Yarrowia lipolytica: one gene and its partners. The protein of the gene in region 1 interacts with the protein of each later gene in a pairwise test. Links are inferred from orthologs where the notes say so. Each region holds a gene or a part of one and is shown on either strand. Other genes may lie near its edges.

Evidence for each region.
Region 2: the proteins of YALI1_E28046g (region 1) and YALI1_B05995g interact in binary tests that used the Saccharomyces cerevisiae proteins (3 or more experiments, as listed by UniProt). The link is inferred for Yarrowia lipolytica from reciprocal best matches to the Saccharomyces cerevisiae genes SHR3 and SND3.
Region 3: the proteins of YALI1_E28046g (region 1) and YALI1_E29827g interact in a protein complementation assay, tested with the Saccharomyces cerevisiae proteins (2 studies listed by BioGRID). The link is inferred for Yarrowia lipolytica from reciprocal best matches to the Saccharomyces cerevisiae genes SHR3 and YMD8.

Annotation. Positions count from the first base shown.
Region 1 is NC_090774.1:2,802,984-2,805,730, forward strand, and holds YALI1_E28046g (uncharacterized protein), read left to right. Parts: upstream 1-1,648; coding exon 1,649-2,221; downstream 2,222-2,747. Other genes in the region: YALI1_E28033g (40S ribosomal protein uS3), read right to left, coding at 1-307; YALI1_E28052g (uncharacterized protein), read left to right, coding at 2,269-2,320, 2,598-2,747.
Region 2 is NC_090771.1:597,753-600,923, forward strand, and holds YALI1_B05995g (uncharacterized protein), read left to right. Parts: upstream 1-1,807; coding exon 1,808-1,985; intron 1,986-2,206; coding exon 2,207-2,607; downstream 2,608-3,171. Other genes in the region: YALI1_B05971g (uncharacterized protein), read left to right, coding at 1-655; YALI1_B05984g (uncharacterized protein), read left to right, coding at 723-1,253; YALI1_B06015g (uncharacterized protein), read right to left, coding at 3,145-3,171. UniProt on the Saccharomyces cerevisiae protein: Functions in the SND pathway, a SRP (signal recognition particle) and GET (guided entry of tail-anchored proteins) independent pathway for targeting a broad range of substrate proteins to the endoplasmic reticulum.
Region 3 is NC_090774.1:2,980,940-2,984,462, forward strand, and holds YALI1_E29827g (uncharacterized protein), read right to left. Parts: upstream 1,775-3,523; coding exon 572-1,774; downstream 1-571. Other genes in the region: YALI1_E29840g (uncharacterized protein), read left to right, coding at 3,097-3,523.

The DNA of each region.
Region 1 (2,747 bases):
GGGCAACGGCAGACAGACCTCGCTCCTGGACTCGCTCAGCGTAGATGGTGACGGATCCCTCGGGGAGTCGGAATCGCTTCTGGACCAGAGACATGAGCTCTCGGATTCGTCGGCCGTTCTCACCAAGGACCTTGTTGGTGTGGGTGGCTCGGACAACAATCTCAGTCTTGGTGGGGGTGAGTCGGACCTCGACGCCGGAGTATCCCTCCTCGGCGAGCTCTCGGGTGAAGAACTCGTTGAGCTCGGCGTAGAAAACACCGTCGGCGACGATCTTTCGCTTCTTGGAAATGGTGACAGTGGAGGACATTGCTGTTGTGTGTGTGGATGGATTCGCGCAGAATGGGATATTTTGCCTGCTGGGAGGTGAGTCGTGAAAATTCTGAACCTTGTTTTGCCAGTTAGGGCTAAACCCTGTCACGTGTTGAGTCTTTATTGGGAGGTTTGGACGCTTATGTAATGTGCGATTTAGAGATGTGCGGTAATGGTGAGCTTGTGTTTGGCTGTATTGGGAAATTTTGGTTGTTTTTGGGCTGTATTGATCCAGAAAGTGCTCAAAAATAATAATAAAATAAATAAATAAATAAAAACCGTCAGGTTTGTATGGTAAAATGGGTATTCGAGATCTAAGACAAGGTAAGTAAAGTAAAGTAAAATTGTAAGGAAAGTCACCCTAGTCTAAATTGTGCGATCTTACAAAAATATAAATATAATAAAAATAAAATAAAAATAAAAATAAAAAAAAAAAAAAAAAAATAAAAACGAAAACACATAAAAAAACAATATTAAAAACCCCTCAGGTGGAGCGGAGCTACCAGTACAGGTACTCGCATTCTCACTCGCACTCTCTCACTCGATCATTACCAAATAGCCTCCGCCAACTGCATCGTCTGTGTATTACAATTCACGGGAATTAGTTGGGAGTTTTGTTGAAAATGAGGAAGAAAGGGGGACTTTGTAGGGCGCTGGAAGACGCTGGAGGACGCTAGAGGACGCTAGAGGACGCTAGAAATGATTAAATTAGACACAAATCACCAATATAACCATTCTATTGCCTTTATCGTCCACCATCACCATGACACCCACATGACGCCGTTTGCAACTCCCCTTGAGGCCGTGTGCAACTCTCCGAAGATAGGAACAACTCGCGACAACTCGCATCAACTCGCATCAAGACGGCCCCGGGATGATGGCAAAAGTAAGCCCAAAACTCGGTTACGTAATCAAGTATAGCCCCACAAGCGCCGTTAGCAAAAAAATTAACCTCCCCCAACCCCCAGACACAGATCTAACCCCAGAATGTTGTTGAGTTGTCCAGCCCTGCCATAAGTTGGGAGGGACCTGAGACAGGCCTGAGACAGTTGTGAAAACGAGTGATATTGAAGGGGCCCCGAATGGAGGCTAAAAATCGCAAAAAATCACGAAAAAATGACCGAAAAAATGACCCGCTTAGGTAATTTGAGGTCTGGATTTTTATAGCCCTTTGTCCCACCATTCTCATTTCCCATATTCCGGTGTCCCAGTTCACCCCCCCCCCCCATTACCCCCCCCCTCTAATCTTCCTGTCATAAGGTTCAGTCAAGTTTAACAAACGCTGACACCATCACTACAGACGTGTTTGCACCTCTGACCAGACACATTTATCGCCACCATGCCGACATCTGCATCCTCCATTTCGTCCGCGCTGATTCTGTGCGCCACGTCCTTCTCTCTGGGCGTTCTGTACTCCAACTGGCCCTATGATTTCTTCACTCTGTGGACGGCCGCTCCGCCGGAGTCTCGATACACCGCCTCTCTGGACCACTACAAGGCGTGGTACGACTGCCCCATGTTTGTGTACCACATCCACCACACGGTGATCGGACTGGGGCTGATTGGCTTCTTCATCAAGCTGTACAAGCCCAGCGAGTCCAACAAGCTGTTTGACGGCGGCTCGCTGTTTCTGTACATGGTTGGCGTCACCATCTACCTGACCAACATCCGACGGGGCCTGGCGTCGGCCGTGGACGGCAACTGGGGCGACGTGGACGAACACACGGGAATCAACGTCATTGCCGCCTCCCAGGTCATGATTGTCTTTGTGCTTCTCGGCGTGCTGGGGCTCCAGGTGGGCCAGTGGTGGGCCGAGCGAGAGGACGCCAAGCTCAAAAAGAAGTTTGACGACGAGGAAAAGAAGGAAAAGAAGGACAAGAAGGAGTCCAAGGAGTCCAAGAAGACCAAGTAGGCCTACCGGTAGTGGATAGTACAGGGCTCTGTGCGTAAAAGTGAGGTATGTACGTGAACGTGTTGTGTATTAGGACTGTGTCCGTAGTTGAATACAAGAGTAGGTAGTACCAGTACAGCGCCGTCGTACGGATCTCGTTGTATTGTCTTTCACGCTGGTATGGCTGTAGTTGTTCTGCAAGTGTTCATACTGCGATCTAGTTCATCGTTGGAGCACATCTCCCGGTTGTCGATACTTCAACCACTACTGCTACAAGAGAGCTATCTACAACCCAGCTTGTCCTGACTGACTGCTTCAACTGATTGTACTTGAATTGAACATGTTCCAACTACTTGTGCTCCGTCACTGTGGTATAAGACAAGTTGGAAGACTTGAGCTCAGCCTCTCATAAGAGCCTCCAAGTGGCTCCAGAAACACTTTGATAGAAGGAGACCAGAAGAATCAACTTTTTTGATTAAGAGTTTCACCCATTGTCGCTGGTATCATCCTCTTGGAGTGTTGTACTACATCTATGTCGCTCTTGGTG
Region 2 (3,171 bases), on another chromosome or scaffold:
AAACCGATTTGGCAGAGTCAACTATTATGTGCCCAGAAAAGGGTATCGTGTCGTGGTGCTCAATAATCTGGCTCTAGACGGTCCCGTTTACGAACAGCAGTTCCAAAACGATTGCTGGATGTTTGTGGATATGGTGAGACAGGCTCGAGAACAGGAGCCCGACGTGTCGACCATTCTCATGACCCACGTGCCTCTTTACAAGCCGGCAGGCATTTGTGCCGACGGACCCATGTTTAAGTACTATGATAACGAGTACAAGTGGCTGCGGTCTCAGAACCATCTTTCTGAGGATGCTACCAACCGACTTCTTGACGGTATCTTCGGCAGGGAAGATCCTCGAGGCGTTATCTTGGCTGGCCACGATCACGAGGGTTGTGTTTCCAGTTACAGCTTTGATCCTGGACACGGAAACTGGACAGTTGAGGGTGGAAGAGGCAATGCCGTGTCAGAATATACCGTTCGAAGCATGATGGGCGAGTTTGGCGGCAACACAGGCCTGCTGACAGGCAGCTGGAACGATACAGAGGGCAAGTACGACTTTGACTACTCTCTGTGTCCCTTTGTCGTCCAGCATCTATGGTGGGCCACCAAGGTAGTGACCATTATTGCAACTATTGTTGCCTTACCAGTGGCTGTTTCGATCCACTACAGTTAGGGCTGTAATTCGTCTGATGCAGTCATTTTGGGCATGTTGAACAGCGCATGAGACAGCACGAGACGGCATGAGACGGCATGAGTCGGCACGAGTCCTTCAGTCCCGTTCAGCCCATGAACAGCTAATTATATCCCTGAACAAGGGTTTGCATTGTATACTTAAGTCTTTATTACTGATATTGAGAGTGGGCATTTGTATTGCATCTACGTACTTAACTCACTGCAGACAACTTTTCCGTTTCACGGTATCAGACAGGGAATCTCGACAGGACACTGTGGGAACTGAACTGATTTTATATTTCTACAATGGTGGTACTGTACGGCATCCTAGGATCCTTTCATGTGTTTTTCTAAGTCTTTTTTCAATTTTTTCAATTTTTTCAATTTTTTCAATTTTTTTTCTTCACTTTCTGCAATTTCAGGTGAATTTACTGCCACCATGCACACCCTGCAGTCCCATAAAAAGAAGCGAGCCAGCCATACTGATAAGAGCCAGAAAATCACGAGCAAATATTTTTATTTTTTCATTATTTTTTCGGGAAAAACGGCGCAAAATCCATAAACAAAACAGGAACCCCCATCTGCCCGAATCCAACTAACGCCGAGTACACACAGCCACGTGACGTGACTTCATATTACATACAGGTAGACAGAACTAAACAACCAAACAACCCGAATTTACACTACTGTACATACGTGCAATACGAGTGGTAGACCGAAGGTCTGGGGTGAGGAGACCAAGATGGAAAGTTATTTTATAACATGTCCAAATATCTGCGAAAATTTCACCTCCAAGAAACGATTCTGGCCGCAATTTTTCCGGATTTCCCCGGATTTCCCCGGATTTTCCCGAATTTCCGCGCCCAATTTCTCAATTTTTTATTTTTTTATTTTTTTAATTTCATTTTATATTTAATGTTTATTTTTTATTCCGCCCAAATCTATGCTGCTGGAACCTTCCATATTGTTATGGCTCCGATAACGTGTGCCGTTCGACCCAGTTTGGCGGTGGTGAAATTTCCCACGGCAAACTTTATTACTTGCAACGTATTGTAAAACCCCCATAACCCCAAACCCACGATCTTCCTTGTCGTCATACGCCACCACTAAAAAAAACCCACACAGCCAACGCTCCCCCCAAAAAACCGCAAAAATGGTCAACCCTGCTATTTCCAACCTCGTCATCATGCTTGTCATGATGCAGGTGTCCAAGAAGGTGCCCTTTGAGGACCCCCAGGTGCTGATGGGCATCCGAATTCTCTACGTGGTGGCCCAGTTGCTGGTCCTGGGCCTGTACCTTTACACCCGGTCCATCATTACCAAGAAGAATGGTGAGTATGAGAGTAGAACCGACGGTGGTCGTGTTCCGTGACCCGAAGGACGCTACTACGTGGTTTGGTCAACAGATCAGCGCCACTGTCCATAGAGAGAGTTCACAGACAGGGCACATATGTCACAGCATATGTCACAGCTAATGTCCATGTCATCTTTTTCACTGCTGTGATCTGCGCAAGTTACACCCAGCCTTCACCGTCTTTCAGTACTAACCCAGATCTCACCACCCTCAAATACGTCGAGCCTGCCAACGCTTTCGGCGGCCAGGAGGAGCCCAAGCTCGTGACCACCACCATCAAGGAGTACGATATCAAGCAGGTTAACTCTGCCATCCGAGGTGTCTTCACCGGTATCGCCATGATGGGTTTCATGCACATCTACATGAAGTACACTAACCCTCTTCTGTTGCAGTCCATCATGCCCATCAAGTCCGCCATTGAGCAGAACATTGTCCAGATCCACGTCTTTGGCAAGCCCGCCATTGGCGATCTCAAGCGACCCTTCAAGGCCGCCTCCATGTTTGGTGGAGCCGGTATGGGCGGTGGCGACATCAAGACCGACAAGAAGACCATTTCTGCCGCCGAGACTGCCGGTGCCGGAGGTGTTAAGGAGGAGTAAGCGTTATGAATAGTAATAGATTGTATACTGCACAAGCTTGGTGATTCTGAGCCTGGGCCATAGTCATAGGACTGCCTCAGATCTACACAATTGTAGACTAAATCCTTGAATAAATAATGAAATAAATTATGTCAATTGGGATAAAACAACGATATCTCTCATCCCAGTGGGTCTATGGCAGCAGTACAGATGACGAGAGGGCCGATGGTTGCCTAGCCTTACCCATGGCTTGAGTCAGCGGATATGGCGCTCGTTCAGTGATCAATGTACTTGTAGCAGATCGGGGTAAGTAGCAGTTAGCTCGTGTCGGATGCGTTGAAGAGTTGGAGCTGGGTACTCTATCACAAGAGTGTACATACGGTATTGTACTCCAGTTTCTGTAGTTCACCCAAGATGAGTAGTCAGCAGTAGGCTTAGCAGTCGTATCCGTATGCCAGGAGTCGCATGCTTCCAAGCAAGTTTCCTATTATGTCTTGTAGACACGCGTCAGCTCCAGCTAATGCTGTCAAAACGGATAGCGCAATTGTATGGTCTCTCTCAAAGCCCTCCGACAACCTCCTTCAC
Region 3 (3,523 bases), about 180 kb from region 1:
ATGTCCGAGTACAAACCAGTCAATGTTGTTTTCTGGCTATTCGTCTGATGTGGTAGAAGGAACACTGGTGAAGAGACTGTTCCGAACAAGAAGCCGAACTCCTGTCACTACAAGTAGCTACAAGTAGCTATTGTACCTGCAGAGTGCCAAGTCAGCATTCCAATTTGTTTTTAATTTGCTTTCGTCCTACATCTATCTTGATCTACTGTTTAGCTGGTCTGGGCTTCTCTTCCGTGGATCTTGACCAGGCTAATGTCTGTCTAGCTACATGTGGTAGAAATACATACTGTAGTTCAGTTATGGAACCCTTTTTGGTTCTTAGAATGTTCAAATGGTGGCAAGCAATGACACTACGACGGGCCAATTGCGACGCCAACGTCCTCGACGCCTGAAACTTGACACTATCGGAAGAATGCATCTCGGGTGTCCTAATTTGAGACTGTATACTTGTTGTAGTTCCATCTGTGACAGTAGCCATATAATCCGTGCCCTTCTTTCCATCATCTCTAAATGTCATTACAGTCTATTTTTATGTCGTATGCTCAGTTAGTCCGTTGCTCGTGCTCCCTCTTCACTCCTCAAATGTCTGCCATCGGTACCAGTTATAAGCAATGATGGCCAGCAGCGAGATCACCAGGCCAATAGTGTTGACCACAGACATGGTGTCGTCGTAGATCAGTGCACTGGCCACAATCGTGAGAATCTCCTTGAAGATGCCTCCAATAGAGAGTGTGATGACAGAGGTCTCCTGCAGCAGCGCGTACTCGGCCACAGTAAGGAAAAATGCAAAAAGTCCCGGGATGACCATGAGGAAAATCCCCCAAAGAAGGCCCTGGTCGGCCCAGAAATGGGATGTGACGAACGTCACAGGACCCTCCACAATCAGAGCAAACACGAACAGACACAGAGCCATCATGGGAGCCACGTTCTGAATCGTGGAAAAGGGGTTTGTAGTCGCAGGGCATCGTGTAAGAAGCAGCTGAGTCAGAGCCCATCTGAGACCTGACAGAACTGCTGCTCCTAAGACAAGCAGGAAGCCGATCAGATGGAACTTAGTCTCTCCGGCAACCATCATGACCACACCGATCATCAGCACCATTACCACGCTGATGAGCTTGACGTTGGGCTTTTCGATTCGGAACATGAAACCAAAGATCATGACCCAGCCCAGAGACGACGATTTGACCATGGTGTAGAAGGACACGGTGATATATTTTAGCGAGATGTTGCCCATTCCAATGTCTCCTCCCGTGGCCAGACCACAGGGGCCCATCTTGTATATGTACTCCCGCCACGTCAGAGGCACGTAGACCTCTCCCTTCTCTGTTGCCATCACACGGGGGTTGAAGCGTCGGGGGAACGCTGTAATGACTGCAGTAGCAAACGCAGTTTGTACCAGTTGGTGGATACCTGTGGCGAACAGCGGGAACCGAAAGTCCAGCTTTGTTGGATCAAACATCCACTTGTTGTATAACGTCAGGGAGAGAGAAAACGTGTACCAGCAAAGCAGGTAGGCTGTGCATTTGAGGGCGTGTTTGATCCACTTGTTTTTCTTGATGACGGCGGACTCTTTGTTCTCGGAGTCGCTCATCATCTCCATCTGGTGAAAGTCGTCTCCAATGGGATCGTCTTCCAGTAGAGCGTCGAGATCGGAGTCACTGTCGTTGTTGCCGCCGTGTCCATTGTGCCGCCGTTGCGAGTCTTCGCTGGTGGTCCGGCGCAGCATGCCGTCATCGCGCCCAGCCGGCGAGTCCAGCTGTTGGTACTGGCCCATATGTGTGTTTTGGTGTCAAGGGGGTTGAGATGTATCACGTGCGTTACGCGTGTCGTGAGGGGGTGCGATTAGATTTATCAGCGGGTTGGTGGAAGTCACGTGATCGGAATGGGTGTCGATTGGGTACCTCTGCTCTGTGTTGCCGCTACACTTGTTTTCCGCGCTCCTATGTCTCTGTTGGGGGTATAATTTTAGTGGCCGTGGTAGAGAACTGAACCACAACCACACACACCGGTGGACCAGCGCCTTTAGAGTTCGTTGCTGTTGAAGTGAGCCAGGTGGGACAAATACTGTAATTAAGCGTGTCGTTAAAGGGGTTTGATTGGGAGAGGATTACAAGTAGGCACTGTTATAATTATGTCCTTCTGGGCGAGCAGATGATGGCGTCGTGACATAGATAGTGTAGCGGTCGTATAAGTGGTCTCTACCGGGTCACAACTAGTGAGTATGTTCACATTCAAGTATTTGTACTCTTACTGTTTTGAAACCCACTTTACACACTCATCTTTCAACCACCTTTCCCCATACATACACAGTCAAAATAGGCATTGTAAGAGACGCACCTCGGCAGCAACCACAGCAATGCCACACGACCATACAAGTGGACCATAATAAATACAAGTGCAAACACAAGTACAAGCACACCGATAGACGCGGTCCACAGGACCTCAGAACCACCACATGCTGTCGAAACTGACTAAGCGCGATATACCCTAACCCCAACACATAATTTACTGTACGAGTACCGGTACAACTTGTACTTGCCTCCACACGTGCCTATCAACCAGCATCCATTTCCCTGCTGACGTAATAAGACGGCCCAACGTACAACATGGTGTAAATACGAAATACGACACACGGGACAGGTGAAGTAGGCCCAATATCATACGACTAATCGTAACCAACTCGCAGCATCACGAACACGTCGATGTTACTCTCAACGTCAACCCTAGGCTCGAAAAACCCTAGCTATAAATATTTCTCCGCCAAAGTTTGTATGCAATGCCATGCATTGAACCGAGTGAGGAGTTGAGAGGAGTTGGGGTGACAAGAGTTCCAAAATGTCGTAGGGTGGGCCATAGATGTATATGCTCGTTCATGGTGCGATACGGAGCAACCAAACAAGCCACGCCACGCCCAAAACAATGTTGATTAGACCCTTTAGCTCCACTATTGCACCGGTACTCGCATACTAATATAGATAAACTTTGAAGATGTCACAATAGTGCTATGGGTATGTACGGAAAGGTCCAGACGTCGCTCGCTCGACGGACTTAAGACAGAACAAAACAACACAGCTACTTGTGCACACGGCAGGAGCAATGAAACTCTCCAGCACACTACTCGCGTGCCTGGGGACGCTTGGAGCTACCCAGAGAGCTTTTCCAGTGTCCCATGGACCCACAGAACAGGAGCTCATGCCCTACTCATGGGATGATGTCTATGACTTTATGAGTGCGGACTTCCAGGACCAGTTTCACATTCAGTACGCTGATGGATCGATACGAGGCAAGAGGATCGACAAATACTTGCCCGATGACGCAATCCACCTGCGCAAACGACTGGTTAGTGACGAGGACTCAGCCAAAGTCAGTGGAGGACAGTTGTACTTGGATCTCATGATCGGCTGGTCCAAAGGTCATGGTGTGGGTGGCGACGACAAGCGGTACAAACTGTCTGTCAACCTGTGGAACAACGTGACGATCCTATACGACTACGAAGACATTCCTACGTGTCCCGAACGAGACA